Linked DNA regions of Alligator mississippiensis. The protein of the gene in region 3 interacts with the protein of the main gene of each other region in a pairwise test. Links are inferred from orthologs where the notes say so. Each region holds a gene or a part of one and is shown on either strand. Other genes may lie near its edges.

Region 1 (10,155 bases), on a different chromosome or scaffold from region 3:
ACTTTAGTAATTAATGATGTTAAATACTCAGTGTGCATGGAGCTAGCCAGGTGCACACGTGTGTGTAATATCAGGATCTACCACTGATGCAGTAGGTTGGCCAGAGTCTGTTTTCAGGGATGGAAAACAGTGGGGAATATCTGCTTACTGAATGCATCCATGAGGCTGGTCACTGCAGAAGTATTTGATTCTCTCAATAGGAACACAACCAAAAATAGGAAACAGTTCAAGCATGCAAAGGGAGAAGCGAATGTTACAGTTCCCAGAATGATCAGAGATGTGCACAGGAAGTTATGAAGAAATTAACTGAACTGCACCTTCAGTCTGCGCTCGTTGGCAGTGTGGATATCCTCATCATTTGGGTTCAGCACAAAGAGTCCTTTGGACCATTCCTCAGAGATCTACAAATGTCAGCAAAAGACAGCGGTCAGGGATTATTATTTCCCCACTTTAGGTGGCTCTTGGGAGGCTCAATTCCTATAAGTTTGTAAAACACTTTGGTCACCCTGGAGCTAGAACTGTCCCCTTCTCCCTCCAAGTCTGATCTCACACTGGTGAGATTTTGTTGGAGTTACACAATAGTAGGAGAAAACCAGATCACTGCAGCTGAAAGACATCACTACGACTCCTGCCATGCCACACATATGTGAGACTCTGAGAGTGCATTTGGCACTACTCATTTACAGAGCACTCCAGAAACAAGTTGGGGATAACAGCACTGTTATCTCAATAGCAGTGGCTAAAGTTTCCTGTATCTGTACTTGTCCTTATGCTTGGCACCCTTGCATCATACCATCTACTTCAGCTGATAAATACCTTTTCCAGTCCATTCAGGATCTTCTCCACCTCAGGTTTGGTTAGAATTCCAGTCTTTTCCAAGGCCTTGGCATAAGCCATGCTCCCTTGGATGTCAACTTCTGACAATCTCTGGTCATAATCAATGGAAGAGTTGAGCCTCTCCATGATGGGATCCAGGCCTCCTACAAATCTTCCCCCCCAAAGTTTATCCCCCTGTGCAAAAGGAAGTGGGAAAAGAAAGCAGACAGATCAATCATTTTGGACACCCAAAGAAACACAATCCTTCAGATTAGCGCTGATTTTAAAAACAGGACGGTGGGACAGTCCCCTGCCACTCTGCAGCGTTAGCATATAACAGAGCATATGGGATCAAATTCAGACCTGGTGTAAGCAAATGCTGCACCCCTGCCAAAGGATCTGGACTAAGTCAACAGGCTGGATTTGGAAGTGGTGTAAATAGTGCTGGAACTGACCTCTAGAGGGATCAGAATAAGATGAGTGCTTTACATTTACAAATTTACAAGCTCCTGTTGGCAGCATTGACCCTCTTTCTCTTCCCACATTGAACGAGCTACACTCCCTTACGCAGCTGGTAATCTGCAATAGCCTGCAAAGAAGCATAACCGTTGGGCTGCCCATGTACTGAGGCCATTCCCTGTCTCATTTCCTTGGGCTTCCCCCCTACATCATCCCCTATCAGCCAGTGGGTCCGGTCCTCTGTAAGCTCTTTGAGTTAAGGACCAGCCTTTTCCTTCTGGGAAAATGAGGGCTCCAGGGTGATGCCACAATACAAAAAATAATAATGTGAACATCAGTCCTGACCTTGACTCAGTGGAGTCTTAGCATCTCCAGCTTCCAAGCCAGCAGCTCTGACACGATAGGTCTAATAGCATAATGTTTTCAGTAAGTAGTTTAAAAGGACACTGTTACACAAACACAAATGAGAGTTTCCTCCTTGGTTTTTTATCAGCCATACCTTGGGAAGACAAAACAGCTATAAAATGTCTCAGGCTCTGCAATTTTGAAGGGTTTTTTTACACATCCATTCATCTAGTATATTCATTATTTGTGTGTGGCCTTGTGGTGTTTGTTTTAGAAGGGTGCCTCGGAAGGAAGGGAAGTTTAGGTTAGATATTAGGAAGAACTTTCTCACTAGGACGGTAGTAAAACCCTGGACCGGGTTACCCAGAGAGGTGGTGGAAGCTCCATCCTTGGAGGTTCCTAAGACCCGGCTGAACAAAGCCCTGGCTGGGATGATCGAGGTGGGGATGATCTTGTTTTGAGCAGGGGGTTGGACTAGATGTGACCTCCTGAGGTCCCTTCTAATGCTAATTTTCTATGATTCTCTGAATCTAAGTCACCCTTCAAGCTAGTCAAAATGCAAGGCCCATCTCACCCTGGATTTGTACAAGCATCTGCTTCAGCAGCCAAGAAGATGTGTTGTTTGGTCACAAGTCACTTGCTTACCCAAGTGGGACACATAGATTCATAGATGTTAGGGTCAGAAGGGACCTCAATAGATCTTCGAGTCCGACCCCCTGCATAGGCAGGAAAGAGTGCTGGGTCTAGATGACCCCAGCTAGATACTCGTCTAACCTCCTCTTGAAGACCCCCAGGGTAGGGGAGAGCACCACCTCCCTTGGGAGCCCGTTCCAGACCTTGGCCACTCAAACCGTGAAGAAGTTCTTCCTAATGTCCAATCTCAATCTGCTCTCTGCTAGCTTGTGGCCATTGTTTCTTGTAACCCCCGGGGCGCCTTGGTGAATAAATACTCACCAATTCCCTTCTGTGCCCCCGTGATGAACTTAAAGGCAGCCACAAGGTCGCCTCTCAACCTTCTCTTGCGGAGGCTGAAAAGGTCCAGTTTAGCTAGTCTCTCCTCGTAGGGCTTGGTCTGCAAGCCCTTAACCATACGGGTGGCCCTTCTCTGGACCCTCTCCAGGTTATCCACATCCCTCTTGAAGTGCGGTGCCCAGAATTGCACGCAGTACTCCAACTGCGGTCTGACCAGCGCCCGATGCTGAAGCCCTTACTCAGGCCAAATTTCCACTGGACTCAAATGGGAGCTCTGCTTATGTATGGACTCCAGGATTGATCCAAATGGATTTTAAAAGCAAATTTCCAGAGCAGATACTAGCAGGCAAAGAGAAGCATTTGGGGAGCATTTACGGAAACTTCCTGCCGCAGAGCCTGAATTGCAATGTGGATACTTTGGCCCATCTGCCTTATATCTTACACATTTCTGCCTCTCCCTTTTCACATCCAAACCACCCTCCATGGCAGCTGACTGGATAGGACCCTGTCTCAAGATAATCAGTACCATTATTTTATCAGCTAAAGGGGTTACTGGTGAGTAACTCTGGGAAACTTTCCCCCCAGAGACTGTCTCCACCTATTAAACCAATTCCTGCTGAACCAATATCTTTTATGGGCCCTATCATTGTGTCCCTGTAAAGAAAAGTACATCCTTGTGAAATTTGCCTTTTTAGAACCATAAAATTAGGCCCTTTGTGTTTAAAGATTTGATTTCAGGGCTGTTTTAAGCATATGCCCATTTTTAATTCTAACTTTGTCCACAGTCAAATTTTGCAGGGCCTCAGCTACAATACTGATTAGACATTGCCCTTCTATTAGTTTCCTCTGCTGGTTCACAGGAACAATGCTAAAAATGAGTGACCCACAGGAACAATGCTAAAAATGAGTGACCAAACCTAGGTAAAGAGGTGGAAAATGGACAGATTCGCAGTTACATTTATTTGGGATTTTCTCACCCTGAATTCAGACATGGAAAATTGAGGTAACCAAGCTCACCTTGCAACTGATAGTATGTTCATAACTAGACTTTTTTTTCCCAGACTCTCTCATTTAACTTTTGGCAGTCACAGTATTTCACCATAAGTTTTGTGGGGACTTGTCTCTCAGTTGAAATTGCTACCTGTCAAACTAATCAGGGCAGCGATGAGGGTAGAAGAGGTGGAGGATGCTTGTCAAAATGCAGTAGCATTAGATGGGAGAGGAGGCAGACCAGTTTGGTTCAGAGGCTGCTAGTTTGGGGCAGATACTGAAAATGCAGCCTTGGTACAGACAGATACTGCTGGTGAGTGGTTGTACAAGTAGCTGTCTAAATAGTACTTAACTGCAAAGTGATCTTCACCTAAAATAAGTGATCTCATGTGAAAAAGAGCTCTGATAAAATGTTGCTCTCTGATATTTTTAATCAAGCTTCTCAAGAGTTTAGTTTGCAGCTGGAGCAGCTCCCATCCTAAGCACAGGAGAGTGGGTGACAACTACTACTAAGAAATCAAAGCTCACACTCACCTCAGCCGTCATGTCTGAAGGCTGCCTGTTTCCTCTGGAGACTTCAGCAACTTGTGCAGTCTGCAAGAAGAACACAGCACAGATGTTTTCCCCTCTCAGACAGGCAGTTCAGCGTGCACCTTTTGGACAAACCGCTCCAGACCGCCCCGCAGGAAAGTACCGCCACCCCACAGCTTTGGCCAAACCGCTCCAGACCGCCCCGCAAGAAAGTACCGCCACCCCACCGCTTTGTACAACCCGCTGTTTGCAAAAATCCTGCCCGGGGGTAAAGAAAACATGATTAATCATCCATCATCAGCTCCAGCAGGACAGGATTTATTGCACAAGAGGCAAAGCAGTTGCGTTGCACTGTATATTGGCAACGCAGCGAGGTCTCCTGCAACCTGAAATGTGAGCGCAGAGGGTCGGAAAGTGCACTCCAGCCCCCTCTGGTTCGCGTCCCAGCTGGGTTCAGCTTAACTCACCTGCATGCAGGGAAGCACTGGCTGATCTCTGCTGGGTCTGGCTCAGAGGGCTGCTTTTAGGCACAGCCAGCTGATGTCATAGCCCCGCCTCCACAGGGGGGGGCTGAACAGATCTGGAATTTCCCTGGAGTTCCCTCCCACATCTAGTCCCACCCTGTCCGGTCCTGCTGTGCTCCAATATTGCAATGCTAGCAAATTATAATGATTTATTCAGATGGTCTGAGCTCAGAGCATATAAGCCCCCTGAGCCTATTTAGCTTGCAAAGAGCATACATTATGGGGGCAGAAGGAGAGAATGGGATGGAGGGGAGAGACTCCCTAATGTTTTCTGTTGGAGAAAACCTCCATGCCTGGAGTGTATTGTTCTGGGAAACGAGAGTTTGCCTATGTGCATCTGAATTCAAAAGCTCAACTTATTATTTAGTAGCTGTTTAAAACCTCTGGAGTTCAAAATATTGTCTCAACTTGAAACACACCTCTGTAAGCCATGCAGAAAACTATGCTGGGAGTCAATAGGAGTTGATCCTCGACTTTTCCCCATCACGTACCACTGCTAGGAGGTTGGGATGGATTACAAGAACATTGGTGACGCGTAGCGGGTGCACACGGGTGCAGAGATCAGCCATGCACCCCCTTGGCGCCAGCCGCGAAACCCGAAGTGCCGGCAGAAGTGCACTTCCAGTTTCGCCGGTTTTGCTGCTGGTTCGGTGATCGCCCGCTGGGGGATCTGGTGCCCTCCCAGACTCGGGAGGCACCAGTCACCCATGGATTAGAACAGCGGCTCTCAACCTTTTTTGTACCAGAGCCCATTTGTCACATCGATAGCCAGTCCTGACCCAGTGCCCCTCACCCCCAGGCCCTAGCCCCCCAATGTGTGGGGCAAGGGGTGGGTGTGTGTGGGGCTTGGAGGGACCTCAGGCAGCCCCTTGCAGGCTGGAACTGGCGCAAGGGAAAAGCCATGGTTTCCCATGTTTTTCTCCTTTAAAGGATAATCCACTTGCAATCCTTTCATATATTCTTGCGACCCACTTTTGGGCCGCAACCCACGGGTTGAGAAACATTGGATTAGAGCGGGGTGCTCAACCCCCAGTTTGCAGACCACATGCAGCCCCTGGCACTGTGTCATCTGGCCTGCAGGATTCCCCATGAGTCTTTCCTGTTTCCACCTCTGCATGTGTAAAACCTATTTTGGGGGGATATTGCCACAGTAGCTGTGGGCTTTTACATTTTCGCCAGTTGAGGGAGTCGTTATCAACGAGTGACTCTTGTTAGCTTTCAACTTTTGTAGACTGATTGTGGCAGAACAGAATAGCCTTTTCAAGTTCCTCATTGTGCAGGTTGATACACTGGTTGTTGATTCACTGCTAGCTAATTCATAATGGACTAGATGGGACCTTCTGGGTTGTTGAGTCTAGTCCCTGTTATTGCAGGGAGCCACTATTTTAATAAAATCCCTTCGTCAACTGATCCAACTCCAAGGACTGAACAACGATACAGGTAGGGGAGATCCCAGAAAACAGACCCCAACCCAGCATTTGTTCCTTGGCTCTAAATACTCAGTCACTCCCCAGCAAGGAAATGCTTTTTCCTTCTTCCACACTCCTAATGATGTATTTTTTTTACTTTTGTTGCTATTACTTTTATTATTATTATTATTCACACTGTTTGTTAACTATATTACAGTGCACTACTTATTCCAGTCTTCAGTATCCAGGCCTTTGAGGAGCTCTAGGAATGGTACAAATTAAATTTCAGGTGAATTTGTCATCAAAATCCCCAGCAGAACATGTGCAATCATTTCTCCACTCCCTGTATCTCCCCCCCTGCAATCATTTCTTTACCCCCTGCATTTCTTGTATTGTCTTTCTCTTGCCATGTCCCTTGTTCCCATTTGAAGTCTTTTTCTCCTTACCTGTGGCTTGTCCTCTCCATCCACTCAACCCTTCTTGTCTCAGTCCCACCACTTCATCTCCTTTCCACCACTGGCGTCTAGATGCTCACAGCAATGATTATTTGGGGGAATTTGCTGAATGTATTTACTTACCTGCCTACAGGAGATGGTTAATTCTTTTCTACTGTTCTGAATGGAACGTCACAGTTACAGTCCTTTTGCTAGTGATGAACAGCATGGAAAGTGTGAATAACAGAAATTAAACTGGAAATCAGAACAGACGTTCCAGGTATGGGGATAGCAGTAAACAAGGCAGCAGGATATTTTAACAGGGTGATTTTGAGCTAGAGAGTAATAGTACCTTTGTGCCAATTAAGGATTGTAAAATGGGCCTCAAATAAATGCTTCTTTCTCTTTTTTCCCGTTTTTAATTTCCTCCCACTTTCTGCTTTATCATTTTGCTTTTTTACTTGCTTCTATGAAGCCCCTGATGAAATGGCACTATGTACTTCAGATCATTTCTCCTGGGGACAGGGAATGGAGCACAGTCCCATTTCTGATCTTTTTCTTTTCCAAGCTGATGTACCACACATACTGGGGTGCTCTGGAGGGGAATATGGCACATTCAACTGCAAAGAAACATTGAACTTTATTTTACTACATTTCGTTGTTCCAAAAAATTAGAGATTCGTGCCTTAACCGCACTTGCTTCTTGGGGACTAGTTACAGCATTACCGATTTCTTTTAATTTTTCCTTTATTACAGGAGTTTTTAATAATCATGTTCAGTCCTTTCAGTGCTTTATATAGTGATTTGCAGGAATATACTCTTTGTATTAGGCCTAACGCTAGAAATGAATTGACTCACATAACCTTTGCCCTAAAGTCATCCTATAGACTCGGTCTGCTGGTCAGTGAAATGCACTGTTAGCTGGGTTGGTGTGGAGCAGTGCTGACATGTTTTATAAAAAGAATTGTTTAATGAATTTTGAATGTAAAAAAGATGCAAAATGCTGAATACAGAAAACATCTTTCATGACAAAGAATAGATACATTGCAGATCTGCTTTCCATAGCAGTTACTATGTCCCCTGCTTTCAGTAGTTAATACCAAGGCTCCTCTCTCATTGAGCCTTAGTGGTAACAATCACAATCCTATGCTTGAAATGTTTATACGTTGCACATTTAGAAAATTCCATGTCTGCATTCCCTATGGATACTCGAATGTACACATCCCAAGCCGCTGAGTCCAATCAGAAGTACAGAAATTAAAAACCGAGATACCTGGGCTAATCACTACTTTTGCATCTTCTCTTTGGAAAGTAGTTTGTGTGGAGCACAGTGATAATTTTGGTTGTGCATGAACTCCAGAGCCCAGTGGCTGAAGTGCATAGCAGGGCTCAGGAACGAAGCCCTAGGAAAGATATCAAATAAGATGCAGATAATTACCTGGTGTTGGAAGACAGAAATGAGATGCTAAGCATAAAAAAGCAGGTGCACGTGGTATCGTATAGCACCCGGCAGAGCTGTCGCAGGACTTTGCTCTGCTGGTTTTGGCCATATTGTGCCAGGGTCAGTAAATCACATGAACAAACAAAGGCGACTCTAGCTCTCTCTGGAGTCTGTCTGTTGATCTGGGTGTTTGTTCATTGCTGTCACTGTGCAACGACTGTGGTGGTTCCAGGGGTATGACCGTGGTGGTTCATATTTCAGTCCTTTCATTGATGAAAGAGGCTGACTCTTCTAGAGAAGATACCATTTTGGGTCACCTCCCTGGGTCATTAGGGCTCGATGGCTATTTGCTGGATCCCAAGTAATAGCATGGCCCTAAACTCAGAGGACACAAGGAGTTTCTTGTATTGCGCAGGCCTGTCCTATGGTCACGGGCAAGGCCGTTGTTTTGCGTGCTGTATCCAAAGCAATTCTCAGCTGTGTCCGGAGAAGAGCGGAGCTCGCTTTCTCTGGGTTGAAACGGGGTTGATGCAAACTGTAATACAATATATTGAGGTTATAACCAGTGGGAGGGCGGTGAAGAAGGTGGAATATTGGTGTGTCAGCTGATGAGACCCATAAAAGCACTTTAGGAAGAAATGCCTGATGGCACCCAGGAGAGGATTTCCTATAAGGTATCATGTTGTTCACACAGGTGATGGCGACATGCTGTGCGTGCAAGGCCCGGAGTTCATTTTCTGGACGGACAAAAATGATTTGATTCACTCTTCCCCTTTTATTATCACAGCCGAAGCTGGCTGGGACACACACAACTCAAACTGGTGAATTCTGGGGTGTTTCTGCCTGTGCCAAGCCTTGTGCCAGCAGTGGGCCTTTCTTTTTGTGGGCAGGTGAAACCTCTCCCTTCACCGTCAGGAGAAAGGGCAAGAAGCAACCAAAGCAGCGGGCGCGCCTGCACATCACCCTATGGCGACATAGTGACGCATGGCACGCTACGGCGACGTATCGCTAGCTACGTCGCAGTAGTGGCGCGCTCCCCGCTTACGGTGCCCTGCTCTGGAGACACAGCGAGAAAATTTAAACACGTGGTGCCCATTTGGCACCGTCCAGGCGGTTACCACACCATGTTTTAGTACTTCCAAAAGCACAGCGCAGTCACACCGTTCCCGTATGGCGATGTGTAGATGCACCTAGTGTAGGGCAAAGCTGCAGAGACCCACAACCAAAGTGTTCGGTGCAGGGCAGACCCACAACCAGGACAGGGCACACCTGCATGGACCCACAATTGGTGCAGGGCAGACTTGCATGGACCCCAAAGCAGGGCAGGGCAGGGCACACCTGCATGGACCCACAATTGGTGCAGGGCAGACTTTCATGGACCCCAAAGCAGGGCAGGGCACACCTGCATGGACCCACAATTGGTGCAGGGCACACCTGCATGGACCCACAAGCAGGGTGCTGCAGGGCAGACCCGAAGGGACCCACAATTAGTGCAGGGCAGCCCGTGCAGGGCGTTGCGGCGCGGGAGGAGCGAGCGGGGCAGCCGCACCGCGTGCGTCCGCATTGGTGGTTCAGTGGTAGAATTCTCGCCTGCCACGCGGGAGGCCCGGGTTCGATTCCCGGCCAATGCAAGTGTAACCTTTTTTTGCCGCTTCCGACGTTCTTTTTCCCGGCGGCCCCCGCGCTGCGCTGCGCTGCGCTGCGCTTCGCCCCGCCCCGCCCCGCCCCGCCCCCTCGTCCTTCTCCTTGCCCCCGGGACGCAGCACGGGCGCCATGGACGTGTAAGGGCCGCGCGGGGGGAAGAGGCCGCGGGTGCGGGGAGAGGACTGGGAGAGTCGTGGTTTGTTTTCTCCCAGAGCAAAAATGTCCCCGGGTGGGGAGTGATTCACCCCCGGGCCGTTCCCCCTCCCAAAAACGCTATTTTCTTAACCCCGGGGAGAAAAGGCCTGGCCGTGCGCATGCTCCTGGCCGCGCAGTAGATTTGCAAGCGTGGGCCGCGCAGATGGCAACATGAAGGCCTCTGAAGAAACCCCGGGCGTCTCCGAGCCTCGCTTGACGGCGGTGACACGGGGGGGGACCAGGGGCGACGGCCACTTACTGAGTTTTGGACATTGGGGAAAATTTTCTCACTAGGAGGGCGGTGAAGCGCCGCAGCAGGTCACCCGGACGTGGGGGAGGCTGCATTCTTGGAGGTTTTTAAGGCCTGGATAGAGGGGGAGGAGGATGAGCTGTTT
Region 2 (10,022 bases), on a different chromosome or scaffold from region 3:
AATATTTAAAGACAGCATAATCCAAAGACCATTGGTGTCCAGAGTTTTTCCACTGATTTTGATGGGCTATGGATCTGGTCATTAAAAAGAGCTACTCAGCTGTAGTCCTTTTTTCACAGGACAAGCAGTTACTAAGGGTATGCAAAGAGGGCCCTATTCGATTCGGATTCGGCCGGAATCAGGGACAGTGATTCGATTAATTGATTTGGATCACCATCCCTGATCCAATCAGCCAAATCTGAACCTGAAGATTTGATGCTGATTCGGAGAATCAGCGATTCGGACATGGACACAGCGTTAAATGTTTTTTCTACATATCTCTAAGGACTAGTGTGGTTTGTGAATGCTGCGATGCTGGGGCAGCCTCCATGTGCTCGGCGGTGAACCTGGAAGTGGACCGGAAGTACTTCTGGTTCACTTCGGGGTCTGCCAGGGAGTGCACTGCCCCCCTCCCTCCTCCGGCTCAGCGATCAGCTGTGGGGGGACTCTGGTTATCCCCCCCCAGACCCAGGAGGCACCAGTCATTGAGCCGGGGGAGAGTGAGGGGGTCCCCCTGGCATACTCCCCAGAAGTGGACTGGAAGCACTTCTCATCCACTTACAGGTCTGCTGCTGAGCATGCTGGGGAACCCTCCATGCTCTTGTGGGACACTCTATCCGCCCCAGCATCGCAACATTCACGAGCCACCTGCTACCTAGAGGTATGTAGAAAAATCATTTAAAGCTGTGTCTATGTCCAAATTGCCAAATCTTTCTGAATCAATTTGGAGGGTTCTGATTTGATTCAGATTCAGAGATTTGTCCACCAAATTGGGTTGAATCTCCACCAAATCAAATCAGGGACTGAAACTTTGCACAGCTCTAGCAGTTACATCCATCCTGACAGTTGTGTTATAGTAAAAAACAAACAAAAAAACTTTACAACTGCAAAAGGTCCAGAAAACTTATCTGTAAGTCTTCTTCAACTCTAATTTAAATTAATCTATTTACAGGGGACTTATACTTTAACATTTTTTATCGACTTCAAGACGCTTTGTCTAGTTATGGAGCCTAGGAGCAGACTAAAAAAAAAAATCAAAACTGATCCAAAAATGATTTAAAAATAACAATCTTTACTGAAGTTACGATAGATCTTTTTACAGTCAGTATTGCATTCTAATTCTTCTATCAACCATTCTGTTTCTTTCCCCAAATCCACTCTTACCAGTGAAACAACACAAACTGTATCATCCTATAAAGATCCCTACTGATTACCATTTTAATGGGAAATCAATAAACCTTCTATAGCTGTTCCTTTCTCTTTAGATACATAGCCACCTACCAATAACAGGCCTTGTGAATGAATTCTTTGGAACTGATCTCACAAGGTCCCTTCCAGCCCTAAACTTCTGTGAATCTGTGACCCTACTTCTCATTAGATGCAAACACAGCTACAGCATTAAAGAAGAAATACTATAACATGATTTTGAAGAATCTCCACTGGAATCCCTACTTTTCAGGCCATAGTAATTTTCAATAAAGAAGGGCTGAAAGATTTCTATGCTTGTTCTTAGACAAATGGTGAATTAAGAATATATAAAGAAAGAACCTAAAGGAAGAAACTATAGCTCATTTAGTTGTTGTCAGTTATGTAAGTCTGAAGAAAGGTTTGCCATGCTTTTCAAAAACATATTAATAGTAGAGTAAGTAAAACAATTAAGTTCAAGCATGACACGTATTGTATTCAAATGCGGAACAGCGTGCCAGTAATTGTTGAGGAATAAAAATTGTTGAGGAAATATATTACATGACAATCAGTCTGAAAGCATGATATGTCTGAATGTAATCACTTAGGACATCTGGAACAAAACTACAGGAATACCTTATTATGCCATGAAAACACACTGGACCGAAAGAACTCTTAGAAGGGAGTGGAAAGTGGTAATCTGTCAAAAAATAGGGACTCTCTCCTTGTATCTGACACACACAGGCAGTATTTATTTACAGCAGTTAAATTTCATTGCAGTATACAACACAGGTCTGGTTCCACTTTCATGTAAACTGGTAGGCTGGGGCATCAAGCAATCTTCCAGAAGAATATGAGAACCGTAACAACGTCGTTATCTTTGTAAATGGCACTTATCACAGCAATTACCATCCGGCTACCCAGTCTGTAAATGAAAGTACATTAACAGCTCCTCCATGCATTATAGCTGCAATTGTTTGCAATTACAACATGGTGACTTTTGGGCTATAGTCCAGAGCAAGGGTTAGCAACTCCTGGCATGCATGCCAGAGCCTGGCAGGTGGGAAATGGGCTGGGGCTGCACTGCTGCAAGGATCGGGTACCTCGCATCTCCCCTGAGCCCCAAGGCATGTGTGAACCTGCTGCCAGCAACGAGCTGGGCCGGCGCTCTGCAGACCTCAGCACAGAGGATTATAGCTTTCTCACCACCTGCTATGGGCAGCCTGGACTCCGTGGCAAGTGGCAGAGTCCTGCCCAGAGCCTGAGCCAGTCGGAAGATGCAAGCCAGTGCACTGAGATCTGAAGAGCCCTGCCCTGGCTCGTTGCTGGTGGCAGGTGCAAGCAAGGGACCTGATCCTTGTTGTGGCAGTGCAGAACCACCCCTTCCTCACTGTCTACCCCTGGGTGCGTGTGCACCTGCCGCCAGCAATTAGCCAGGCCAGGGCTCCACAGACATTGGTGCAGTAGATTCCAGCCTCCCAGCTGCCTGCCACAGCCAGCCGACTCTAGACAGGCCCCTGCCACCCGCCACGGAGTTTGGGCTGCTCACAGCAGGTGGCAGGGAGTCTGCAAGCTACTGAGGTCTGCAGAGCCCAGGCCCAGGTTGTTGCTGGTGGCAGGTGTGTGCGCAACATGGGTCGGACAGCAAGGAAGAGTCTGGGGCTGCGCTGCCACAAGTATTGGGCCCCTCCCCCCCGCTGTCCGGCCTCTTGCATGCCAACACGTGGACCCCCTGAGATTGGCCATGCACCCCTTGGAAGTGCCAGCTGCAAAACCAGTGCACTTCCGGTTTTGCCACTGGCTTGGCGATTGGCTGCTAGGGGTCCCCCACCATCTGCAATCTGGTGCCCCCCCCAGACTCAGGAAGCACCATTTGCCCATGCCTGGGCCTGAGAATTGTTTTGGAAGCTAATTAAGACACTGCTGGTAACACTACCATAATGCAACTGGAATACGATGATAACCTATTCCCTAGTGTTTTTACAGTGTAGATAAAAAATGGCTGTTTCTTAGAACGTCTTTGGAAACCTAGCTTCTTCGTCTGCTGTTATAAGCCCATAAATCCCTGGAACTTTACAAAACATGTAGTTTTAGACAATTTCAGTACACAGAAAGGGTAAAATGAAAAGAACTCAAAAGTAGGCTTTTATTATTGGGCCCCAAACCCATAGATAAGTGGATGACTAGCCTTTATTTAGGTGCTTCAGTGGATGCTAATACCTGAATATTTTGTGTATTTGGATCTACATTCCTTGTCACAGACCCTAGAGGTAATGCTCAAGACGATTCAACAGAGGCCTTGTTTTTCCTTAGAAACTACTAGTTTTGTAATGTGTGACACCTTTGCTAGTCGCTGCTGAGTTTGCTTCTACCACTCACAAACTGCAGTGCTGTAATCACCAGACTAATCTAGAAACCAGAGGTTTTTCTCTTTCTCCAGCAGCCAGCCAGGCACACACATGCAACATGGGGCGGAGAAAAACGCAGCGCAGGGCAGAGCAGAAAAGAGTTCGGTTTAAAGACAGGGAGACCGAGCTCAGGTTTGAGAGCAATGGGGCAGGGCTGATGAAGGAAGAACAAGCTGGCAGAGGGCTGATCACAGAGCGGGAAGGGTAGGATACAGCAGGGCAGGGCTGATGAAGGAAGAACAAGCTGGCAGAGGGCTGGTCACAGAGCGGGAAGGGTAAGATACAGCAGAGCAGATAACAAGCCGGATGTGGGGCTGGATCAGCGCAAAGCAGGATCACTGCAGAGATGCAGGAGGAACAAGCAGGGGGGCCAAGGCTTTGCACAGACGTCTGGCAGCACAAAGGCCAAAGCAAGAGGGAGGACGTGGCGGGAGAAATCAAGGACCTATCCAGGGAGAGGTGCGGGGGGAAGGGGGGGGAGCCCCAGGTCCCGGGGGGTTGGGGGGGGAGATGGGGGAGCGCTGGCAATGGGGAGGAAGGGGGGGGATGCAGAGGACGAGGGCGGCACCCCGGGGGCAGGGGCTGGGAGGAGGGGAGGGGAGCGCCTGGATGAAGGCAGGACAGGGCAGGGCAGGGCAGGGCTGAGGCAGGATGTGAGGGCAGCCCGCAGCCCAGGCCCGGCGGCATGAAGCTGGGGCCGCGGGAAGAGGCGGGGGAGGGGGGAGCTTCCATTTACCACAACCCCGCGGGCGCTGCCTCTCCGCGCCGCCAGCCCGCCCGGCCCGGCCATCTTCTCGCGCCCGCCCGCCCGGCCCGGCCCGGCCCAAGCGTGGGGACGGGGATGGGGCTGGGAGCAGGCGCCGGCCTACAACGTGGAGCCCAGCAGCTTCGGGCCGGCCCCGCCCCCAGATCCGGCCGGGGCGGGGCCGTGTCGCCCCGCCCCGAGGCCCCGCCCCGCCCCGCAGCGCTCTTCGCGCCGCACGGGGATGTGGGGGGTGGGGAGCGGCGGCACCGAACCCGGCCTAGGCCCGGAGGTGCCCGCTGTGGGGGTGTGTCGCCGCCGCCGCGCGCTCGCCCCTCCTGACACTGAGTGCACACCGGTCTCCCCGAGCAGCAGCCATTTTTGCTTGGGAAGAAAAAAGCCCTGCGCACGTGCGGACGCCTGCTGTGCCCGGGGCCCGGCCCAGGCGGGAGAGGCGGCGAACAGGGCAAGAGCATGTGCGAGGGCGCAGAAACGCCTTCCTGGGCGATCAGCGCCGCAGGATGCGTGGGAGTCAGCGCTCCCCGCACAGTCAATTTCTGGGGGCTGCTGAGAAGACAGGAAGCTCCTTTGCTCACATGCCTGGTTGTGGGCAAGCCCTCCATGGGAAGATGATCCCCGCAGGTCATTGATGGGTCTTGAGATAATTTAAGAATCCAGTTTTTGGGCCACACGTTTGCCACAAGCACTGCTGTGGGAGTCAGTACATCAGCTGTGTCTGTTCCTGTCTCTAGATACGTTGCCACCTGCCAGTAACAGGCCTCGTGAATGTAATTCTTTGGAAATGATTCAGCTAAGCTGCTCCAACCTGTTAGATATTCAGCTCTTGTTACGTTTGGGCTTCAAAAATTTCCACTTACGCTTGGAATCTCGTTACGCTGGAGTCTGTTGCCTCACAAATGCTGACGCAATGAAAATATTCCCAAGCTCCTCCCAGGGGCCCATGTGCAGAGCAGATAACAAGCCGGATGGGGGACAGGATCAGTGCAAAGCAGGACTGCAGAGATGCAGGAGGAACAAGCAGACCGGCAGGGGGGCAACGATGGCAGCACAGCAAGGATTTGCACAGGTGTCTGGCAACGTAAAGGCCACAAGGGCCAAAGCAAAAGGGAGGACGTGGGGGGAGAAATCAAGGACCTATTCAGGGAGAGGGTGCAGTGCGGGGTGGGGCAAAGCTAAGTGAATCTCAAAACATTTGTTACTACAAAAAATTCGCTACAGCAAACACGTTTTTCAGCCCTTGTCTGTATAGTATTGTATTGCTATACCAAGCAAAAAAAAAAGGTAACACCAAAATCTTAGACATTAACAAAACATGCTTTGATGAGATATATTAGGAGAGGGAAAAACAGTTCCTGAAGGGAGAAAAGTTGAAATTGGTAGAAGCAAGATCTGGCTGGGAAGAAATGCAGGGAAAGAAATTGGCTTGACTTGGTCTTAAACTATGTTTTGAACACTTTTGCATATAAAGAAATTTCAGTGCTATGAAATAAACTGGACTCTCTTTTGATCAGGCTGCCATCACATCCTGCCTGGTGTAACAAGATTCCCCCTATATTAGACCAAATGAAAATTATATCCATTTCTGTGTCTTGATTCCCAGCACCTAATTCAGCACTACGTCTGGAAATAAATCAAACCTTTGACTAAAACTTCTCTCACTCCTAACTTTTGTGACTGACTATACTATAATTTGTGTCTGCTGGTGCCGGTGCTATGATATACTTTTCATACATGGACGATGTTGTTTTGCCTACAAAGGCTTATAGTCCAGGAAAGGACGAAAACAAAAAAAAAGTACAAGAGAGGTCAGGTGGTCAAGTGGAGATTGGTTCTGTCCCATCAACCAGTCTTAAGTACACAATATCTTTGCTTTTGATAGAGAAGGTAGAAACAGCCTTACACACGCTCAACTATTACAGCAATTTGTAGATGTCATGTGGCTGGATGAGGAGCCGCCTGGCTAGAAGGGGCGATACTTAGAGGAGTTTAAGTCTAGTGACTGAAGCAAAGAAGCAGTGTTGCCAGGTGTACGATAATTATCATATTTGTGTGAAAATGTCAACCCTTGTACAATGTATAGCCAATAATGGTAAAAGTTTTCAAAATGTACCTGGCAGGGCACATTTGGTGCCTGCCACTTTAAGGGCCTGTGTAGGTAGCAGAGCAGCCTGTGGGTGACTGCACTCCCAGTTAGGAGAGTCACATGGCCAGCGGGAGGCCGCCTGTTTGGAAGGAGGGCCTAGCTGCTAGGGAATAAAAGCAGGCCCTGAGCAGTAGAGCTAGCAGTTGCTGTAAGGAGCTGGAGAGAGAACATTGTTTGGTTGGATCTGCTGCTCTCAGAACATCTGGAGGTAAAGAGCAGGAACTGTGGGGGCTGCAGTTATTGGGCCACAATTATTGCCCCTTGTCATGACCCAAAGGTCTGATTTTTTTTGTGTGCGCTTCGGCACTCGAATTATCCCCGTGGGTTTACAGCTTCATTGCACGGAGGAGTTCTGCTGCGCAGAGAACCCGCGTGCAAAGGAGAGTTCCCGCCACTTTGCAGCGGTCTTTGCAGGGTGCATTTCCTTTGCAACACAGAAATGCACGGTGCAAAGGAGTTCCCGCTCGTTGTATGCAAATTTGTGCCCCGCAATTGGCTAGTGCTAAATTATTCACATGTGGCGGCTAGTGATTGGCCTGCTAGCCGTATAAGAGGCTTGAGCAATTTCCACCCAAGCCGAAGAGGACTCCGCATCCATCTCGTGGGGACTCTGGGTGTGTGCGGCAGGGTAATAGAAACCCTGTGTGTTGCTCAGAGGAGTTTGGTGGCCTGATCCACCGCCCACCTCTTCCCGTCTTCGAACGGAGCCTGCTATAAGACGTACCGACGAGTTTTATGTGCGTTTGTCCTGGACATCCGGAGTTTTGTCTGCGTGGAGCCTAGCAAGCTCCACGTGATTGTTTGAGTTCTGTCTGCGTGGAGCCTTGCAAACTCCACGTGTGTTCGTGTTTTCTGTTGTAACCGCAACTCAAGCAAGTTCTCAGCCTGCACCGTGACCATCTCGGTGTAAGTAAACAATCTTAAAATCAACCGTTAAGTGTCTGTGCCTAATTCTAGCTCGGCGACCTCCCTCTCCGACCCGGCCTGCCCAGGCTACCGGCCACAGCCCGCATGCAGAGTGATGAAAAGGACCCGGGGCCTGACCCCGCCCGCACACCCCTAAGGCACATAAGGCCAGGAGGGCCATGATTTATTGCTAAAGGGGTAAATTGGGTGCAAGCTGGGCATGTGGAGAAATAGACAGTTGAGAGACTGGAGCTCACTCTAGGACCCTTGGGCATCCTCCATAAATATTAGGAGATCCATCAAGGCATAGTAGGTGAAGTAGAAAAGGGAGGATAGCCCAAAGAGCTGGAGTGGGGCAAAAGTTGCATAGCCATCGCAGGGCAGGGGGTGTCATGGCTACCCCTGGCTCTGCTACATTGAACAATGAGAGATTTGAATAAGGGAAAGTTGATCAAGTCTCTTCTTTGCATAGGTTACCTCTTACTCTCCACGGGGAGCGGTAAGCTTCCTACTTGCCACAGTCTGAGTCAGACACCAGCAGAGCCAAACACCAATCTCATACACTAACAAACAAACACACAATCCAAACATCTCAACGCACATGTGCGCACGCACGCACGCACACACACACACACACCTCTGCCATGACCACGCTCAAACACAAAACAGTGCCAAGATGTGGGGATTTCAAGGCCTCAGTCACTCCACTTTACTAACCAGACATCTGAGGTAAAGAGCCTGTCACTCCATATCAATCAAACCTCTGGGACCTCCTGCTGTGTCCAGCCAGGGGCATGGACCAAGGTGGTCAAGGGCCCTAAGGCCCGCCGCACCAAGGCCCCACCCCCGCCACAACTGAGCAACAGGTATGCACCTCTTGCTGCCCCAGCAGAGCCTGCTGAGTTGCCGGCCCCCACAGGCAACATGGGCCCAACTGCAACTCCCACCCCTGCTCTCCCCAAGACAAAACGTAAGGTGTTTGTTGTGGGAGACTCCCTCCTGAGGGGGACGGAGAGGCCAATCTGCCACCCTGACCCCTTAGCCCGGCAAGTCTGCTGCTTCCCAGGGGTCCGCATCCGGGACATTGCGGAGAGGATCCCCAAGCTCCTCAAACCCACAGACCGCTATGCCATGCTCCTTATTCATGTGGGCACCAATGACACGGCTCGGAGCACTCCCAGCCAGGTCATGAGGCGCTACAGGGATTTGGGAGCGGGGCTTAAAGGTCTGGGGGCACAGGTGGTGTTCTCGTCGATCCTCCGAGTCTCAGGCTATGGGCTGAGAAGGGACAGGAGGATCTATGTGGTCAACCAAAGACTGCGGCGCTGGTGTCGTCAGGAAGGCTTTGGCTTTCATGACCACAGCCCGCTCTTTGGCGAGAGAGGCAGCGAGCTGCTGGGAAGAGATGGTCTCCACCTCTCTCCCCTAGGGAGGAGGCTCTTCTCAGCCAGACTGGCTGACCTGCTCCACCGGGCTTTAAACTAAGCCCGCTGGGGGACGGGGGCACGACCGCCACTGCTGGCCCGCTGAGCAAATCTTGCAAAGCCAGCGGATCATGCCACTCAAGGGAGCCCGCCCCAGCCCCAGCCCTGGTAAAATCTGTGGGCAAGGAAGGAGCCCCCCAGGGGGCGCTTGCCTGCCTGTACACAAATGCCAGGAGCTTGGGGAATAAGCAGGAGGAACTCATTCTCCTGCTCAGTGCAAACAATTACGATGTCATAGGGATCACGGAGACCTGGTGGGACTCCACCCATGACTGGACCATGGGGATAGATGGCTATACCCTGTACAGGAGGGATCGTGTAGAGAAAAGGGGTGGGGGTGTAGCTCTCTATGTTAAGGAAAGCTACGCGTCCCTGCAAGCCGATATTGGCGACCAGGGTGGACGGCTGGAGACCCTCTGGGTTAAAATCCGTGGGGAACACGGCACAGGGGACACAATGGTGGGAGTCTATTACAGACCTCCCACCCAAAGTCCTGAGCTAGACCAGGAGTTTGCCCAGGAACTGGCTGAGGCAGCTTGCTCCAGGACCATGGTTGTCATGGGTGACTTCAATTACCCAGATACCTCGTGGGAGGATCGCTCAGCAAAATCTGAGCGGTCGCAGAGCTTCCTCTCGTGCGTGGATGACCTCTACCTGACTCAAGAAGTCTATGGCCCAACGAGAGGCAAAGCGCTGCTCGACCTGGTGCTGGCTACTGGGGAGGACCTAGTCGGCGACCTAGTGATCGATGGGAAGCTGGGTGACAGCGACCACGAGCTGATCACCTTCACCATCCGCCGAAAAGCTGGCAAGTCGGTCAGCAACACGCAAGTCCTTGACTTCAGGAAAGCCGACTTTGACAAGCTCAGGAGGCTTGTCAGTGAGGCCCTAAGGGACTGTGACCGCAGGGAGAGGGGAGTTCAAGAAGAGTGGTTGCTCCTCAAGGGAGCGATCCTCAATGCACAAACTAAGTCTATTCCATCTTGGAGGAAAGGCAGCAAGAGGGCACAGCAGCCCCCCTGGCTCTCCAGGGACCTAGCAGACCTCCTGAGGCTAAAAAGAAAGGCCTACAAAGGATGGAGGATGGGAGTCAC
Region 3 (9,881 bases):
GGGGTAGAGCCAACCCTGCTCGGCTAGAACAGACAGCACAGCCTAGCTCAGGGCTGCAAAGCATGTTGGGATGCTGGGGGCATGTAAGTTAACTTAAACCAGGAAGGGGTCTGGGACAGACATTCCGTAAACTGGTTAGACCTAAATCAGCTAAGTCTGATACTACATTCAACCAGGTTCATCTTAAACCAGTTTTAGCCATTTTGAAACTGGTTTATGTGCACTAAACTTCTGTTCTGTTACAGGTTTAAATGAGTCTCTGACAACTTAAACCAGTTTGTGTGTAACTTCTGCCCCTAGCCAAAGTGCACCTGCAGTCAAAATGACCTCCAGAGTTTGGAAAGGAAACATAGTGTTACTCTTCCACTAAAACACAGCCAAAAATACAGCCCAAATATCTACATAGTTGCAATCCACAATAAATGGATTAATCTGCAACCAAAGGAAATCACTGTAAATCTCTCCTCTAATAAAAACATATAACTATGCTTTTCGGTTAAAGGAAAATACTATCTTCATATGTCAATTTTTTTCAGATATGTACAAAGAAGGCCGAATTGCTTTTTTTTATAAATGCCAAGCACAGCAGGGTTTGGGGTTTTAAGGCAGTGTATAATCCTAATGAGTTACTCAATTAAACTATGCGAAGTTATCCACAGATCAAAGCCCTTAGTTGTTAAACTGTAATGGTCCATTTTCCTCTGGCACTTTATTAATACAGTGGAAGTTAAGTGACACACTATGCTTCAATAATTCACATTCCATCCAAAAGGAACCAGGAACTTAGCTATAATTACCAAGATAAGCACTATGTATGCTATAAAGGTATTACTTCAGATCCGGCTAAAAACCCAGGACCTCCTACATGTATCTTTCTATTAGCAGAACCACTCATATTTTGAATTCTTTAATGTCATATATAGATTATTATAATTACTGATATCTGAGACAAGAAAGGATTTCTAACACCACTAAATTTTTATTTGCAAAAAACACTACTTTTATTCTATGTTCCAGAGCTGTTTGAAAGTACATAGCTAACAATGTTTTCTTTGAAAATCACAAGAAAAGTTTCTGATAGAAATTTTGCAAATCTAGTTCTTCCCAATATTAAACCTGCCAAACTAACCTTGAATGTAAATTTGAAGGCCATTTGATATACAGTAAGACAGCAACAGAAAAAAGGGCTGATCACAAAAACAACTGTGTTCACATATAATGGTAATATATAACTGTATTAACGACTTTTCTTCATATGCTGCAGTCCTTTTTTAACAGTAGTTCTGACCACATCTTTAACCAAGGCCATCTGCCCAACAATCATTTCAAAGCAATGTACCATTTTAGTGTGCTCAACTCTGCTCCTATGGATGATATACACCAGGGGTGGGCAAAATGAGGCCCATCAAGCCACTCCATCCGGCCCGTGAGGCCCCTAAAAAATTTAGAAAATAAATATTTATCTGTCCTGGGGTGCCTGTCATGTGGCCCTCGATGGCTTGCCAAAACTAAGTAAGCAGCCCTCTGCCCAAAATAATTGCCCGCCCCGATACAGACTCTTCTGAAGCTGAGCAAAAGACAGCATCCTTCCTTCTCCAAAAGCTGCCAGCTTTTAAAGACAAAAGATTTATGAAGGCACCTTATTTCCAGATAGTATCTGGCAATTCACTTTGGTTTTGATTCCAGAAGACTATGGTTTATAATAACTGAAAGGCTTCTTCCTTTAATGTGAAAATGACCCCTAGCTCTACATGCTGTGCAGATGATCCCTATGATGTCAACAGAGCTTTGCAGGGGTCCAAGGATCCACAAAGGCAGAGCATCAAGCAGGACCAAACCTTAATCTGACAAGTACAGCATTCCATCATACCCCTAAAACCATCCTGCAGGAGTCAGGCAGTGATATGCACCCTGGCTAGCAGGCCTTTTGTTTTCAATACACTGTACCTGGAAATCTATGCCTGACTAATGTCTAAAGCAAAATGCATCTTTGATCAAGAATTTTTATCAGCTCTATGGGATGGACTCCTATTACCAGATATATTTACAGTGTGGCATATCATTTATTCACCTAGCATCCACTTACAACAAATATTTGCATTACTAGGGCTTGAAAATAGCCAGCTCTTTTGGGGAAAAACTTGTGTAACTGCTACAAAGTTAACAAATATTGCCCAGAAGAAAGGAGCTGGCCATGGGGACTGTAGAAACATGGGGCGTCTATACACATGCTCAGGGAGTGGGGAGGGGAGAGAGGGGGGCCCTTTAATTACAGCGGCTCTCAGAGCCACTCTAATTAAAACACTCGGAGCATCTTGCACATCAGCGTCCCCACACTGAAAAATGGTGGTGGGGTACGTTAACTAAAGCTTGTTGAACAAGCTTTAGTTAAAGGGCCCTTGCTGCAATTTTTCAGCACGGGGATGCTAATACACAAGACACTGGAGTCTGCTGGAGCACATTAATTACCACACTCCAGCAGACTCAATTAATTGACTCTGCTCTGATGCACTATAATTACAGCGCATCAGAGCAGCCTTGCTGCATGTGTATAGGTGCCCATGGGTTTTTTTTAAGTATGTGCAGTTCATTCAGACAATCCATTGTCAAGGACATCAGCTGTTCACCAACCCAGTGTACTTATATCTTCTTACTCATCTAATGCTTTTATTTGACAAAAAGGGAAAACTGGAAGCCTCACTTAAAATTATTATAACCAAACCTGTTATACAAAAGTAAATAAATAACTAAAAGGATGCATTCAGTTCCTGATTATCCAATATTATCTTTAGTGTCTTAATAAATGTTTAATGGGCTGAATCATAGCATTGATGGATCCAAATCTTAACTTTTTGGCCCCTGTGTATTTTAATTTCTCTATAGGATTACACTAATATCATTTTGTATTTCCCAAAGAATATTAAAAGAGGCAAAAGATATGTTTTCATTGGCCATACTTTCAGGGATTTTTGCACTGCCTGAAGTTATACTAACTGGGAATTTCAAATTCAAATAGATGTACTTAAGCATGCTTATTTGTGCATGTACCTGTCAGTACACCTTCGCGACTACAGGAAAAAAAAATCATCATCACACTTATGCACTTAAGTTAATAAGGAAATTAAAGTGCACATGCTGAGCATGCTATTTTTCTTGTTTATAGCCTATTCATGAACTGATTAAGTTCTGACTCCAGGGGCAGAGAATGACATGGGACACTCCTCTGAGGACTGCTCATCATACCATGCTGGAAACATTAAAGTGGAACCATTAATTATTCTTCTACACAAAGTACCCAGCTGGGAACAGCTACACGAGAATTAAAACAGGTAGCTGAAAATATTACAAAAAGTGTTGTTTCCTCAAACATCCCAAATGTATAGCTAAAAGACACACAGGAGAAACTGCAGCTCATAGAGAATTTTCTATTAAGGTTTGGTGAACAGAAAATAGGAGATGGAAAAGAAAGTTAGCACAGAGAACGAAGTTAAGGTCAAATTAAAAGTCCGAGTAGGTATGACATTTGGCAATTGACTTGAGGCAGGACAGCATGCAGATGATGGAATAATTGACCTAGGCAAACTTGAAGTGGAAAGCTGAAGAGAAGAACTGTCTTTTCACGACTTTTCTGATTAGGTGGTGCAATGGACCAACAAGTAAGGATCAGCCAAGAAGGCCCATGGCACTGAAGTAACATCCAGGGTCACATAACTACATAAGCTACAATGTTCACCACTTGAGCACTTAGGGTAAGCACATAATTCACTTTATTGCACAGCACCACACAGGTCCCAATGTTTTGCCTCTTGCTTACACTGTAACAAACTTCAGTTGTCTGCCTATCAGTTGCATGCTACTTGTGTAGTGACTTTTTGGTCCCGCTGTAGGTAACTGCATAATTTGGGAAAGGGAGTGGGACCCAGCAGTATCCAAGCTTTTAAAGCAGCCTTGAACAACCCGACTGTGTCAATGTCAAGAGCCAGCAGCCATGTATCAGACAGGGAAGGAGGCTCTGCTCAGGGGGAACCCCAGAGACTGCGGCGCTGTTTTCCTGTCCCTCATCCATCCACAACTCCAGGCAGTTTCACTGAGCAGCGTCCGCAGGATCCTTGGACTTGTTTGCGGGGCAGTGGGCCCTGGCTGGCGTGCTCTTCTTGCTGTCCCCCTCCTTGCAACAATCATTATTAACCACAGACGCAAACTCAAGTTCCTGTTTTTTCTTCTGTTGTCCCCAGAACCTCTTCTTATATAGCTAGTTGCCTCCCTAACTGAGGGCGGTTTATAGGCATAAGCCCACTGCTGCTTTAATAACAAACAGGCCTGTCAACTTCAAGCCTGCTATCAGAGGCATAAGCCAATCAGAGAAACAAGGTGCCTGGCTTCAATGAGCTGCGAAAGGCTCCTCCTGCAGCTAAGGAGCACTGCTCACGCTGGGTCTGGGGAAACACGTAATGCTGGGCGAGCCTTGTCCCAGGCCCTAGGCCGTGCACCCCAATGGTGCACGCTGCGCAGTGCCCATGGCACTAAACCCCTGCTGCTCCCCACCCTGGGCAATGGGACCTCTGCAAAGGAAACAACGACGGGCACCAGGGCAGACGCACCGCGCCGTCGCCGCACCTAACCTACGCCAGGCCCCGGCCACTTCCCCAGAAGGCGCCGTGTGCGGGACATGGGACTGAGCATCCAAAACCCCACAGGGGGCCAGGTGCTCACTCACCTGCTCGCTTTCCTCCACCAGCCAGCTTTACCAGGACCCAAACTTCCTTCCAAGGCTGTCCCCACCACCGACCGCCCCATCGCGCCCATCAGCCTCTCCCCCACCCACACCACCGAGCCCCCTCCCCGCATTACCCACCGGGAAGCTCCCTTCCCCCATTACCCCTCCCCCATTGATCCCCCAACCCTCACTGCCCCTCCCCCATCGAGCCCCCTAACCCCACTGCCCCTCCCCCATTGATTCCCCACCCCCACTGCCCCTCCCCCATCGAGCCCCCTAACCCCACTGCCCCTCCCCCATTGCCCCTCCCCCATCGAGCCCCCTAACCCCACTGCCCTTCCCCCATCAAGCTACCTAACTCTCCTGCCCCTGCCCCTTCCCCACGACCCCTCCCGCACGTACCCGCGCCGAGCAGGGCGGGCCCCGGGGCGGGGGCGGGGGCGGTGTCGGCGGGGGCCTGGCTGACCGGGAGGAAGGGCACGGCGAAGCTGAACTCGGTGGCGGAGGAGGAGAAGAGCAGGTTGGTGCCGCCGGGCCCGGGGGGTTTGGCGGCCGCCATGTCTGCGTCCGCGTCCACGTCCACGTCCCCGGGCGTCACCGCCCCCACGGCCCCTTCCGCCCGCAGCGCTGCCCGGCTCCAAGATGGCGGCGCCGGCCTCAGCGCCTCACGCCCGGGGCGGGGCCCTTCCCCGCCGCCATTGCTGCAGCGGGAGGCAGGAAGTTGGCGGCGGCGCGGGGCTCCGTGTGCTGCCGCCCGCTCTCCCGCCCGCCCGCAACATGCCGTGCGTGGCCGACTGGCTCAACAGCCCGCTGCGCCTCGTGCAGGGCCTCTTCGGTGAGCGGGGCGGCCTCGTGCCGGCTGCCATGGGGCCAGCGCGGGGGTGCCTCAGTTTCCCCGGCCTGGCCTGGCCTGGCTGCGGGGCGGGGCGGCGTGAGGGATGTCTCCCGGTGTCGGCCTCACGCCGCAGGCTGCCCGGGCGGCGCGTGCTCGGCGCGGGTGAGGGGGGCGGTGTGGGCCGGGCCGAAGGGTTGATGCGCTTCACACGGGGCAGGGACTTGACCGGTCTCAAATAACCCTGAGACCCCCTTTCCACTTCCAAGCAGGGAAGCAACACTGATGTGGAGGGTTTCTGTCCCCCCCCCCCCGAGCCCCAAAACACCTGTGGACTGTGATCTCTGCAAGCAGGATACCTTTGGGCAGGATGGGCGTCCTGGCTGCGCTCCATCCCAAGCGGTGCGGGTTGGGATGCTGGCGGGCTGACCGACACGAGGCACAGAGTGCTTTATGTCCACACCTAACACTGAACCGCTTCAGGGACGACTGGCTCAAAATCATACGTGTTTTTTCTAGGGTGCTTGTAAAACGTTCCGGTCTAAAGTTGCACGTGCATCTAGGATCTTGGGGTTCAAAGTGTAACATTTATTGCATCTGCCCACCTTGGGGCATCAAGTGTGTGTCTGCGCACACCCTGCGAGGTGTACCGAGGAGAGGGGTGAGAACAGCTAGCTAGCCACGGCTTCTGCACCTCCGAAGTAGATGGCACGGAGACGCGAAGGCAAGCGAGGCTGTCTGAGAGAGATGTAGGGACTTCTTAAGGCGCGTATGCGTGGTTTGATCCCCGTCCGCATCGGGCTCCAAACCAACGTGAGGAGCTGGGCTTTGTGTAAGCTCAGCGAGCAAGTAGGGAGAGGTGTCAGAAATATCTTCCTGTCTGGAATCAGAAATGCTCTTCTATTACGTTGTTCTAGCCAAGCAAACGATGTTAGAAACGATTTTGAAAATGAAACCTTCAACTCTGCTCATGCATTTGGGACCTTTAAAATGCAGCAAAACCCTTGCCGAGTTCATTCACTGCCAGTTCTGCGTTTTGATCTCGTTACGGTTCCAACAGACAAAGCTTTGCCAATCCTGCACTTGGTATTAATCCATGTATGGCTTATTTTCTGGAAAAGCACTTGTGCTGAAACAAGCTTTCCAAAAACGTGACCGTGTGTGCACAGAAAGTAAGAAAGGTGGCTGATTCGCCCCTTCCTTGCCTGCTGGTCTGTGGCGTATTTGTAGTCCCGAGTTCTTGAGCCTCGTCTCACTTAAGCAGTGATGTGCTTGCTGTTATCGTTAAGAGACGGAGGAAGACATGGTGTTAAAATAGTCATAATGTGCACGTGTGCAGGAACAAGTCTCCCATAAAAATGTCGTTACCTTGCCAAACTGTGTTTACTTCACTCCGGTTCAGAGTGGTACATAAAACTCCGAAGTACTGTCCAGTTGCTTTTCTAAATACAGTTCTTTTTTTTGGTTTTTTTTCTAGCCCAAAGTGGTCCAAATCCTGAATGGGAGAAAAAAGTAACTGAATACTTCAGAGAGAAACTAAAAGAAAATAATGCTACTAACTGGGTGAGATTGTTTAGGAGTCTTTCCTTAAATTTCCTTCCTTTTGCATCAGTGATGATGATTTATTGTTTGCCAGGTTTTTCACTTTTAGAACTTGCTGATACCAGGCTGAAGAAGACACTGGAGACACTGGAAATCCCTACTTTGGCTTACCTGCAAAGTCACTGAAATGTGAAAAATCTGTCCAAAAATCAAAAGTGTAAGATCCTGATCCAAAGTCTTTTGAAACTCATGCAGTTGACTTCAGTGTACTTTGTACTATGACCCACTAGGTGGCAGTAGCTGACAAATGCAATCATCTGCAATGTATTCATTAAGGTATAAAAATCTGCCCTGGCTAGTCTAAAATTAGAGATAAATAAGTGTATACCAGAAGTTTCTGGCTAAGCACTTTCAAACTGATCAGGTTATATGATCTGTTACAGCTTTTGATGCTTTAAATGATTGGAGAAATAGTTGTTAAATTTCATATTTTAGTTTGGTTGAGGGAGATCATTTATTTTAATCTTCTACAAACTGTACCATATTATGTCAGTCTAAGCCCCTATTCTGTATTCAAAGATTAGGCAGCTAGCATGTATCTGATCTTCATATACAAGAAAAAGTTAGCTTGATTCCAAAATTGTTGGTCTACTCTGAAGGATAACTATAAAAATGGTATTATGGAATTCTGGATTTCTTGGCCCTCAAGTTAAATATGTTCAGTTTATCAGTAAAAAGAAAACCACCACAACAAACACAAGTATTTTTCCAATTTCAAAACACATTGAGAACCAAGAATCTTGTGTTTCAAGGAAAAAAACATTTTGTAACTAAAACTTTATCACCAATTGCATTTTTAACTGACTGAACTGCTAGGCATTACTAGTACCTGGGATGGAATAAAATATTTCTTTTCCTCTCTTATACAGCTGTGTGGGACCCCTGAGTTAAACTTTAAGTTGGATACAGTTACTTTAAAAAAAAAAAAAAGCAAATGCTATGGTGTGGATGTTCAGTCCGTGGTTACCATTTTTATATGATTGTAATTCCAGTAACTATATTTCACATTGAATGTATTTTTCCCTAATATGACAATGCAGTTAATACTGATTCAGAAAATCAAATAGACCTTGAATGAAAGGTGCACAGTACTGTTATTTCAGTAATTTGGAGATTTGGTTGCCTGGACAAGCCGTGCGCTTATCTTTTCCCATGGTCATCTCCTGTACAGATAAGCTTCTGTTACCTCAAAGCATGCCCTACATGTTTCTTTTGAAAGCGTGAATGCTTTGAGTACCAGAAAAGATGTTTGCTTGTTTTGCTGTGAGATGGCAGTGTTTCTTTCATGTTGCTTATTACAGTATTCCTAGTTGTGTTTTTCCTTGTCAAAAAAGTAAGGGTTTGGAAAAATGTCTTCTGTGCATCTGACAGTGTGTGAAACTTTAAATTTGTGCTGACCAGAAGGAATCCAGACAAATTCGATGAGATGAAGAATGTGACACTTAGCAATTAATTTTTTTGGGGTCAGTCTTAAAATGCACAAGAAAGAGGAGATTTTATATTGAATGGGTAATAGCAGATAGAGGGTGCAAGAATGAACTGGCGTGATCCTGATTCAGTAGGCTATCATTTGAAAATAAAATTTAGTCAAAGAGATGTTAACTTGATTTTGTTTTAAAACCAGTTAATTTAAATAAATTGATAAAGCATATTTCATTAACATTCATTGAAAGGATTTGTAAAGGCTTGTTTAATTCCCCCATTAAAATGGGCGGGGAGGAGGACAGTGACCAATAACAGCACTGCCGAAAATTGGTCCAGTCCCTGTCTGAACTTGCCTTCCACGCTCTTCAGTTACACTTCTAGTTTTACTGCACTTCTGGATGATCCCCTTTTTCAAAGGGTAGGAAACAGCAACATAAAAGTGCACCTGACATTCCAGTTAGTGAACTTGTATAAGCAAACTGCTTCAAATAAACCAAAACAAAATAGGGAAATTATTTTGTCTGTCTCTTTATATTAATCTTATCTGTCACTTATAGCAGTGTCTACAAAAGTTTCAGAAAGCAATATAACTCCTTAAACAGTCTTGGGTAAGACAATAGATGAGGCAAAATGACCAAAAAATCTTAAAGTTAATAGCTGACTTATCGATCATCCTTGTCCATTCCTTACTGCTCTTGCATTTATTGAGTGCTTGAGACAAGTAAGTGAATAGCAAGAAGTGCCATAATTAATTGACATATGTGGAAGTATTTTTGCAGTATCTATCTTTACCCATGATTTTTATCTTGAACAACTGGTATAAAAATGTGAGGCTTTTTTAAATATTAATTTGAAGCTTGTTCATGCTTCTTAAAGGTTCCATCGTTGAATGATGTCCCTTTGCATTACCTGAAGCCAAACAGTTTAGTCAAATTCCGCTGCATGGTTCAAGATATGTTTGACCCAGAATTTTACATGGGAGTTTATGAAACAGTTGACACAAATACCAGGACACGTGTAAGTAGAACACAGATTCATTACTAAGACAAAAGTTTACTATTTCCCTAATTGTAGTCTTTGTACTTTTCTGCTTCCTTAGTTTAACCTTTTACTTACCCAAAAGTTCACAATATTAATTCAGTTTATATGTGTTAGTTCACATTGTGGACATGCCATTTTGTTCTTTTTTTGGTTGTTATCTGTTACAAGTAGATACAATTGTGGAACTGTTATTGCATGTAAGATCCGTGGGAATTAAAAGAACATTCTCTCTCCCTTTAAATTCTTGAAACAGGACAAGTTTAT

What was found.
Region 1: the proteins of MCMBP (region 3) and ASL interact in binary tests that used the Homo sapiens proteins (3 or more experiments, as listed by UniProt). The two-hybrid records come from large-scale screens. The link is inferred for Alligator mississippiensis from reciprocal best matches to the Homo sapiens genes MCMBP and ASL.
Region 2: the proteins of MCMBP (region 3) and PRTFDC1 interact in binary tests that used the Homo sapiens proteins (3 or more experiments, as listed by UniProt). The two-hybrid records come from large-scale screens. The link is inferred for Alligator mississippiensis from reciprocal best matches to the Homo sapiens genes MCMBP and PRTFDC1.

What each region holds. Positions count from the first base shown.
Region 1 is NC_081837.1:10,093,137-10,103,291, reverse strand, and holds the start of ASL (argininosuccinate lyase), read right to left. Parts: upstream 4,673-10,155; 5' UTR 4,587-4,672; coding exon 4,581-4,586; intron 4,565-4,580; exon of another isoform or gene 4,500-4,564; intron 4,177-4,499; coding exon 4,117-4,176; intron 1,012-4,116; coding exon 817-1,011; intron 402-816; coding exon 318-401; intron 1-317.
Region 2 is NC_081828.1:187,830,048-187,840,069, forward strand, and holds the start of PRTFDC1 (phosphoribosyltransferase domain-containing protein 1), read right to left. Parts: upstream 4,534-10,022; 5' UTR 4,423-4,533; coding exon 4,369-4,422; intron 1-4,368. UniProt on the Homo sapiens protein: Has low, barely detectable phosphoribosyltransferase activity (in vitro). Binds GMP, IMP and alpha-D-5-phosphoribosyl 1-pyrophosphate (PRPP). Is not expected to contribute to purine metabolism or GMP salvage.
Region 3 is NC_081829.1:87,093,795-87,103,675, forward strand, and holds the start of MCMBP (mini-chromosome maintenance complex-binding protein), read left to right. Parts: upstream 1-5,407; 5' UTR 5,408-5,494; coding exon 5,495-5,552; intron 5,553-7,026; coding exon 7,027-7,112; intron 7,113-7,201; exon of another isoform or gene 7,202-7,308; intron 7,309-9,452; coding exon 9,453-9,593; intron 9,594-9,881. Other genes in the region: SEC23IP (SEC23-interacting protein), read right to left, coding at 5,120-5,276. UniProt on the Homo sapiens protein: Associated component of the MCM complex that acts as a regulator of DNA replication.